Schizosaccharomyces pombe: one gene and its partner. The protein of the gene in region 2 interacts with the protein of the main gene of each other region in a biochemical or structural test. Each region holds a gene or a part of one and is shown on either strand. Other genes may lie near its edges.

Region 1 (4,601 bases), 170 kb from region 2:
TCTCGTTTCGGCAATGTTCGTGAAACGGCTGGAAATCCCCTAGCATGCCGCTGAACTGACCTCTTCACTTCAACAAGTTGCTTCGGCGGTTTTTCAACAATATCACCTATCACATTTGAGAATACACTCCTGTGATTCTCCATAGCGATTGAATTTTGAAAATATCTGCTTTTTGTATGTAGATGTTTCCTTTTTATAAGAATTTAAGGGTCAATTTCTTCAAACCTCACGAATAAAGCCCTCTGAGATAGTATTATGAGATTCTGATTAAATGAATAATAAATACTTCAACCTTATGAGTTTTTTCTCCCTTTCACTATTTACATACCATTTGGTAGATTGCAGGGATGGTTACGTTTTCTCTCATTTTCTTAGCTATTTTGCGCTCACAAAATAACGGTACATCTCACTATATATGATAACGTAACTGTAAAAATTGATTTATTGTATGGAAAAAAAACTAAATGTTTACATGATATGAAAAATGGATGGTTTTTTCCTTTTTTAATTCAATACTTTTCATTTAATATTAAAAGTGCATAATAAATAATTAATTCGTGAAAAAGTTTTCTAGTTATAAAAGAGAAATTATGAGAAAGATAGTATCCGAGTTTAATAGGACTTGGGCTATCCTTGAAGATTAAAGAAAGAAAGAAGTTATTAGAAGAAACGACATTCATCCAAAAAGAAAAAATAGAGAACAGAAAAATGAGTGGCGAGTAGAAGATTAGACAAGAAAAGAATGATAAACACTAAAAATATTTCGTCTCAGAGAAAATATCTTAATTCAAACATAAAAACGAAAAACGTCGCTTTAACCCTTTTTCATATGACACACCTAAAACCAAACGCAGATGAGATGCGACTAATTATTAGCTCAATGTAAACTTCTTGTCCGTTGCCTATCAGGCGAAGAGTTAGAAGATACAGATCGTCTTGAATTGAGCAGAGCCCCATAAATACATCAATTATTCCAATATACATAAATCTTGAATCAATGTTCAATTATAGCAATTAAGTTTGGAATCCGTGCTTTGAAAATAAAAATTGGATTAAACTTGAATCTAAGATTCATGTCGGAGACCAACGATTGTCGAATTTTGTAGATGGTAACCAAAAAAGAAAAGGCCATTGTTGAATTGTTGCAACATGAAAAAACAAAAAATAAAAAATATGAATTCCGATGATGAACAACAATGAAAAAAATAAGACACGCAAAATTAAAGAATTGGGGAGTGAAACTTTGGAAAAAGCATTAGAGAGTATGGTGGAGGGAGATAAAAAATCTTTGGAAGACTTCTTTTTTAAGTTTTCGAACTTCTTTAACAGATTTTTTTGACTTTCAAGTTCTGATGCCAGTAAAGAGAGACCAGCGGCAAATTGGGAATCGTTCAAAGTCTCCGTTTTAGGGATGTAAGGGATGTGAAAGAAAGGGCTGGGAAAAGTAATTTTTAGATTTTGATACGGAGGGTGATTTTGGAAGGGTTGAGGCGCCTTTTCCTTAAAAAATAGTCTCAACTGCTCGTTTTCCAACTGAAGATGTGCAACCTTTTCTTCTAAAATCATGTTTGACTCCATAAAAGCGCCTCTTTCTTTTTGTTCCGACAAAGATTCTTTCTTCATGTAATCTGTTTCCTATTAAACAAATTAGTAAACTGGCTTGTCTCTACCTCGAATAAGGCATATTCTTAAAAATCATACCGTTTTCCTTTCCTTTTCTACAGCATGGATTAGCTCTTCCATTCTCACAATATGGGCTTGCTGTTGCTCATACTCTTCATGAATGGTTTGTAATTGAGCTGCATACTCCTTAGAATCACGAAGAGCTTCACGAAATTTTTTCTCCCAGGTTTTCGCTTGGGTATAACAAGACTTGCAAGCTTCTTCCGAAGAATCCAATTCCTCCAATAATTTTGCATTTCGCGCGTTTAGTTCTTTAACTTGCTCGTCTTTAGAACGTAATTCTGCCGCTTGAAGCTCTATCCTTTCATAAAGCTGTTGAATTAAAGAATCATCAGCATTTTCCTTGTTTATATGAGAAAATCCTTTATTTGATCCATATTCATTTTTAGTTCGAAACATTGACAAAGGGGTTGAATGACTCAAAGGTGATCCTTTTCTTGGTGTTATGTAACTTGCGTCTTGATAAAACATATCTTTTCTCTTTATTCGATTTTCTGATATTTTTTGAGGCTTCGCTACACTTTTTCTTGGTAATACCCCATTCTCGCGCAAAGCTAATTTGTTTACAGGAAGGGTATCAGGGTCAAGACCAGTTAACTCATAAAACAAATTCTTAATTTCACTCGTAGACACTACAATCTCACTGTTATCTTTTATAAAATCTTGGGCCGATTGTCTTTGCTCATTATCAAGCAAAGGGGCCTCTGGATTAAGTCGCAATGCGTCAACATCGTCGACAATTTCTAAAAATGCTTGAATGGAAACCTGTCGAAAATTAGAAACTATTTTTCAAGTAATGAGAAATTACTTTTCCTGTATAATCTGGGTCGTATTGGCGCACAATATCGTCAAAAGGGATGTATTCATCCATTTTGATTGTTTATTGACATGTGCTTTGGTTAAACAGAATTAGTATAAAGGCAGGTTTGTTAACGATAACTTGTGCGATTTTCTTATTTTTGTAATGTAATGCAGAACAATACGTTATAGAAGTTGCCTTAAAAAAGTAAACAAAGTGCAAGTCAAAACATAAACAGGATATTTTAGCAAAATGTTGCAGTACGAAATGTATAAAATTGTTAGCAAAATCATCTTCAAAATAAATTATTTTTTACTGATTGAGTTAAAGTGGAAGGAAAGCTTTACACTTACCTTTTTTTAAAAAACAAACAAATAAATAAACAGATAAACAAATGTGATCCGTTTCTTGAATCTAGATTTACTTAATTGAAGTAAATAGACTACTTAACTTAGAAAATTTACTACAATCATAAACAAGTGAAATTCTGCTCTCCTTTATTTTACAACGATGCACAAAAAGTTAGTCAGCGTTCCGACTAATTGGCGGTAGTAGAAATAGTAATTATACAAATTCTTTAAAATTTTCTAAAAAGTATATTAGTATCAAATTTTTCTTTTGACTATTTCACTGATTATGTTAGGCTATGGATTAATAGCTATTGAACTCGGTTTTCTTTGCATGGAATAAGCAAACTCACATTAAAAGTTGGTAAGTCGTTTTTAAAAGAGATGAAAAAGCTTAACTGTGACGATTATATCTCCTACTTCTCTATTCAATTACTGACAGCTTACACATAACAATGATAATATGGAGGATCGTGTTGCTTCAATGGTGCAACGATATTTTATTTAGGAATTTCAGTAATCTAAAACATACTTAAAAATAAATAAATCTAAACTATAAGCTTATCGAATTCCCAATACTCGTTCACTAGTACACGGAGTCTTTGTCTACCTCTCCTTAACCAAACTGTTGAAAGCTGAGAAACCTGTGAAACTATTTCTAAAAATCATTCAAACTAGGACTTTTATTGAACTTATGCGGTGATTGAAGATCCCTATGCAAATTGTAGGCTATTTGTCTGCAGATTCGCAGAGTAATCCTGATTTAAAATCCGAAAATGAAGCAAAAGAAGAAAAGCCTATTGGGAGGAGACACACAATGTCACCAGTCCCTGCCACATCTGAAAATAAATATTTTGGCAAATCTCCTTTGTCAGGGTCTCGTAAACCTCGAAGAAGCCGATCACTTCATAAGGAACGTAGCTACATGAGGAAATTCTTTGATATGGATATGGAGGAAAGCAAAGACTTTGAAAATGATCAATCTTTACTAGTAACGCTTAAAGTATCGACTTCCTTGGGTCAAAAAATTGAGAATATATTACACCCAAAACTCAGCAATGATACCAACTCAACTGCCTTTCCGCCTGCTAAGTCGTCGGGAGAAGCATCAGATACTAATATTTTAGTTGAGAATATTAATTCACAGGAAACAGTTAATTCTTCCCCCCTTGTTTCCGAGTTACATTATTCAAACTTAGCAGATTCACCTAGTAATCTGCGAAATACTGTCACATCCATGCACCCGTTTTTCATGTCAAAGTCTGTGAAAAAGAATTCTGAAATCAAATTTGTAAGTGAAGAAAGAGGCGGTACTAAGCCAGAGAGGTTACTTGATCCATTATGGCCGACACCCGATTCCCAGAGTATGTTAGAGTATGCCGGCTCTATTGAGCCGAGTGTTTTCTGGTTTCCGAAAAAGCATTTAGAAGAAGCCATTTTAGAAGAGACCTCTCATCTTTCGTTTAAGGAGGTTCTTTCCTCCACCACCGCGAATATGATAACCCCATTAGCTGAGAAAAATAAAACAGAAGTATTACAGGTTACTCCTTCTAAACTTCATACTTTTGCTTTGGAATCGTTGTGCTTTTCACCGGCTCCTTTTATTCAAAAGGTTTTGTCAAGACTTTTGCCATCAGATCCTAATGTTGAAATGCCAATGATCCCACAAATATTAGAAAAAGGACTGTGGGTGTCAAAATATGCTCCATCTAAAACACAAGATTGCTGTGCGTTCTCTCAATGCCTTTCGAAGATAGCGGATTGGCTAAGGT
Region 2 (5,429 bases):
GGATAAAAGCTTGGGATCCTTGTGTGTTTGGAAAATCTCGATTACAGCCCTCAAAGAGTATGCGTTTTAACCCCAGATTTACTAATATCACTTCTGATAGTGATAGACCTGATAAACGGATTATGATGCTGACTGGACTGGCAGGTGCAGGTAAAACGACTTTGGCTCATGTTATTGCTCATCAGGCTGGATACAAAGTTTTGGAAATAAATGCTAGTGATGATCGTACTGCTCATACGGTTCATGAAAAGGTATCCTCTGCCATTAGCAATCATTCAGCCTTGTCATCTCAACCTACATGTGTTATAGTTGATGAAATTGACGGAGGTGATCCTGCATTCGTACGAGCACTTTTGAGTTTATTAGAGAGTGACGAAAAAGCGACTGAGTATTCTCAAGCTGGTAATTCAAAGAAAAAGAAAAAGTTTAAGAAACTTTGTCGTCCCATTATTTGCATTTGTAATGACTTATATACTCCAGCACTTCGACCTCTGCGACCATATGCTCAAATAATATATTTTCGACCACCTCCTCAAGCATCTCTTGTCGGTCGTTTAAGGACTATTTGCCGAAATGAAAATATAGCTGTTGACAGCCGCTCTTTGACTTTGCTGACAGATATCTATAATTCTGACATTCGAAGCTGTATCAACAGTTTACAACTTTTGTCTTTAAATAACAAACGTATAGATTCTGAGACCATAAAGCTTTTGCAACCAAAAAGTAATTCTTTTAGTACTTCTAGTTTAATCCAATCTCTTTTTTTACAACTTGATAATAAACAAATACGTGCAATTGAAGCATCGCAACCTACTTACTCACATTTGGACGCCCTCCTTGCAAGGATTGATGGAGCTAATGATTCTGAATCAGTCTTGATGAATTGTTTTCATACATACTTAGATCTTCCTTTTACTGATAGCTTACTTTCTAAACCTGCTTTGACAAGCGAGTGGCTTTACTTTTTCGACCAACTTCATTCACAATGTTATAAGGGAAATTATGAGTTATGGAGGTACATACCTTATTCCATTATTCATTTTCATTATTTGTATGCAACTCCTGAAAAGTGCCGCCTTCCGCATCCTCCCAGAAGTGATTTGGAAGCTTTAAAACTTTATCGTACTCGCAAAGAAATATTGGATTCATTCATATCGACGCTAAATGCTTATGAAAATCAAATGCATGGAGAAAGATCAATTCTTTTGGAACTTATCCGTACAATTTTAATTACCATAAATCCTACACTAAAACAGGTAAGGTCTATATATTTTAAAAAAAAAAAAAAAAAAAATTGCGTGAAACAATATTTTTTTAATTTACTAACTTTTTATAGAAAGAAGATTCTATGCCAAGGAGCGCTTTACCTTCTAAAATTGAGCATGCGATTAACATTTTAAATCATTATAATTTGCGTTTCCAACAGCTTCCCGTTGGAGATGGCAACTATGTGTATAGGCTTGAGCCGTAAGTTCCAATATTTTTATTTCTTTCTAGTAATAGCTAACGTTGACAGACCTTTGGATGAATTGGTTTGGGACGCACCTACAAGTTCATATTCTGTTCGTCAAATGCTATCTCAGGAACTGCTCAAGAAAAGGCTCGCAGACATTAAAAAACAAACCCTAACGGACAACCCCACTTCTTCGAATTCTTCAAGAAAGCGCAAAGATTTTAATTCCGGAAAAGCAATTAAGAGAGATTTTTTTGGCCGTATCATTTCTGAACCAAAATCTGAAGCAGTTACATCGAATAATGCAGCTTTGAATACAGGAGATCATCCAGTTTCCATCAAGCATGCAATCAATATCAAATTTCACGATGGGTTTTCCAATGCTGTGAGAAAACCAATATCGTTGAACGAGATTCTGAATTTCTAATCTAATGTGCATTAATATTTTTAATTTCAATCTTTTTGAAATAAAATCAATCATTTAATTTAAAAAAAAATCACTAGTAAAAATAGGTGTATGCGTAAATTCATCTAACCATTATTTCCTGACCGCGACTTCGGCGTGTACTTTGTCAATGGCTTTAAGATTTTGAGTTAACGATCAATACTTGTATTTCTCTATTTTAATTCAAAAATAAAAAAAATACTTTCGTCATTTGAAGTTCTCAAATGTCGGAGATTCATGTGAAAACTGCATTATCACGTCTGGCGGACAAGTATTTACAGAACTCCAAAAACCCTTCTGTCCCTTACACAATTGAAACGATCGTGTCTTTCTTTCAGGAAATAATTCACTCGTAAGCTAATTTCGTGTAAATGATCATGCTAACTGTTAGCATTTCTCCTGATACTTTTCAACTGGACATTGATGACATTCTGTACAAAATATATTCAAAAAGTATGTGAAGGTCTAAATACCAAAATTAACAGTTTTTTAGTTCCCCCCGAAGAAAACAATGATGCTTTATTTTCTAAATTATCTAACTTAGTTTCGCGTTTGAAAAGTCAAACGGTCATTCACAACAAATCTCAAATACTCTATTTCTTATACTTGCTCTCTCCTATTTCTCAGTCATCAAGAGATGTCTCCTCTCATTTATTAGATGAGTCTATTTCCAATCCTATCAATATTCCATCAACAGAAGTGGAATCCTCAAACTTTGGTCAGACACGTTACGATCAAGTTCCTGAAAACCCCCAAATTACTGATTGGGATGAAGGATTGGAAAATGAAAGTTCTATCTCAATTGCTCATGATTCATCTAGGCTAAACCGTAGTACTGAAACTTCTTCTGTTCAACATACTTTGATTACAGAAGCCGATTTGTTGTCTTCAATATCTTACGTACTTCAAGGAATTTCTACCGAATATGTTCAGTTTAAAAATGAATTAGCGCTGTTGTCTAAGAGAATACCTGTCCAATACCTTTTACAGATGCGAGCTCTTTCAGAGACAGGCTTATTATATCAGGAACTAAAGGTTTTCAGCAATTATGATCCTTCGGTCAGTCAATCCATTGATGGTGATAACGTTAGTAAAGCATTTATAAACGATCAGTCTTTAGCTTTACAAAGTTTAAAATCGGTCATTTCTAAAGAGCTGACTAATTTCCTTGCGTTAATTGCATCTCTGGATTCACAAATTCGAGCAGACGCTTCACTTGAGAAGCCTATGGTAACTATCCGGCGTTGCATTGCCTGGACGCAAGTTGCCAAGCTAAAACTTAGAATTTTGTCTTCAGTTGTTAATGATAATATGAACCAGGAGAATAAAAAAAGATTGATTCAAGTGGTTTCGAAATACAATGTGCATGGAGATCCGCTAATACAAGAATTGAGTGATAAAATACTAACAGAAATTACTGGACCTTTATACGAAATGATTGAAAACTGGATTTATAAAGGAGAATTGGTCGACCCTTATCAAGAATTTTTTGTTAAAGAAAAAAATGGTAGTGAAAGCCATGATCATCAAGGGCAAGGTGATGTCGTCTGGAAAGGTAAATATTTTTTAGACAAAGAGTTAATACCAAGTTTCCTTTCTGAAGAACTTGTCGACAAAATCTTTTTGATTGGAAAGAGTTTAAACTTCGCACGTTATGGATGTGGTGATTTTGACTGGGCACAAGAGCATTACCAGAAGCTAGTGAAAAAACTTAGTTATAGAGACCCTCATTCATTAGAAACAGTGGTTGATAAGGCGTATACTGAGTCCATTAATCACTTAGTATACTTGATGGAAGAGGTGTTTCATTTGACTGATCATTTAAAGGCTATCAAAAAATACCTTTTACTAGGACAAGGTGATTTTGTGGACTTATTAATGGAGAGCCTTGGTAATTCTTTGGATCAGCCGGCTAATACTTTGTTCAGACACAATTTGACTGCTTCTTTAGAAAGCGCCATTCGTTCAAGTAATGCATCTTATGAACCTGAATACGTATTAAAAAGATTGGATGCTAGGCTTCTGGAGCTTTCACATGGTGAAACTGGTTGGGATGTTTTTACGTTGGAGTATAAAGTTGATTCACCTATCAACGTAATAATAACACCATATTGCTCTAGACAATACTTAAAAATATTTAACTTTTTATGGAGGTTGAAACGAATTGAGTTTGCCCTTGCCCATTCCTGGAGGCGAGTAAATTTGGGCGAGCGAAATGTCTTCAGAAATCTGGATTACACAAAATTCGAATGGCATTTTGTCAGTTGTCATCTTGCGGAAATGATTCATTTTGTTTGTCAACTTCAATATTATATACTCTTTGAGGTAACGAAAAACCAAAACCCAATTTTGCATTGTATACTAACCATTGGAAACAGGTTATCGAAATTAGTTGGCAAGAATTACAGCTTGCTATGGAGAAACCAAACGCTACATTGGATACGTATATAGAGGCACATGAAAAATATGTTACTAGTATAACTCATAAGGGCTTGTTGGGTGGTGGTAAGTCAAGGAATGAAGATTCCTTCCTTCATCAGCTTCATGATATACTTAAAGTTATCTTAAACTTTCATGATGCAATTGAGTTGTTGTATAACTTTTCTTGCTCCCTGTCGAATAGAATTCGCATTAATGTACCAATTTCGACTGATGCTTTGGCAGCTCAATACACCCCTATAAAAAATGAACTCTCAAATTTTACTGAGGAATTCCAGGTTCGACTTCAAAAATTATTACATGGATTAGCTTCCCATAAGGACCCAGAAATGCGCTTTCTTTCCGTTCGTCTCAATTATAACGAATTCTACGTTTCTCATAGACGGCGTCATGATAAGGATGTTACCAGTCAATAAATGAGGTTCATGCATGATTATTTAAACTTTTATTACTCGTAGTAAACTATAAATTTAGTTATTAATATTTAATGTGATTTAACTATCGTTCAGCGGTGCTGTTTAATTTGCCTTTGCCAACCACCAACACCACCCACCCATTTGGTTAACTTTTTTCAGCAACCACATATACGGATATCATGTCCGCGCCTGCTGGTAGACTTCAACCTCAGCGTTTTGCTGCTTTACCTAATCCCGTTACTGCTGAAAATAAATTTTGGCGGTCATTCAAGGTTCCTGTCGTTGCCAAGGAATATAGTGCTATCACTAGTATTCATTTTTCCGCTGAATCCCCTTATGACTTTGCAGTAACTAGTGGGGCTCGTGTACAAATTTATGGAGCTAGTTCAAGGTCTGTTAAAAAAACAATTGCTCGATTTAAGGATACCGCATATTCTGGTAACATTAGAAAGGATGGAAAACTTTTGCTTGCAGGAGATGCTACAGGACTTGTACAGGTAAGTCTACATTACCAAAAGCTTTGAAAGATAGTTGCAATTAAAACGTTGATAAGCTGCACATGGAATTTTGTTAGTTTAGTTTAGCTGATTGAAGCTGTCATTTGCTAGTATATAGCTAAAAAAATACCATTTTTCCGGTGTTTGTCAACGCTTTAAACTTACTTTAGAGGTTTTCT

What was found. Proteins that work in one complex are often made in the same cells at the same time.
Region 1: the proteins of alp6 (region 2) and kms2 form a complex in vitro, tested with the Schizosaccharomyces pombe proteins (one study listed by BioGRID).

Annotation. Positions count from the first base shown.
Region 1 is NC_003423.3:646,436-651,036, forward strand, and holds kms2 (protein Kms2), read right to left. Parts: upstream 2,585-4,601; 5' UTR 2,555-2,584; coding exon 2,492-2,554; exon of another isoform or gene 2,449-2,491; coding exon 1,702-2,448; exon of another isoform or gene 1,636-1,701; coding exon 1,072-1,635; 3' UTR 501-1,071; downstream 1-500. Other genes in the region: rba50 (RNA polymerase II-associated protein), read right to left, coding at 1-143; DNA replication factor C complex subunit Elg1, read left to right, coding at 3,545-4,601.
Region 2 is NC_003423.3:480,400-485,828, reverse strand, and holds alp6 (gamma tubulin complex GCP3 subunit Alp6), read left to right. Parts: upstream 1-2,000; 5' UTR 2,001-2,122; coding exon 2,123-2,250; exon of another isoform or gene 2,251-2,289; coding exon 2,290-2,351; exon of another isoform or gene 2,352-2,391; coding exon 2,392-4,223; exon of another isoform or gene 4,224-4,276; coding exon 4,277-4,753; 3' UTR 4,754-4,881; downstream 4,882-5,429. Other genes in the region: Ctf18 RFC-like complex subunit Ctf18, read left to right, coding at 1-1,256, 1,337-1,467, 1,517-1,880; U3 snoRNP protein Utp15, read left to right, coding at 4,933-5,250.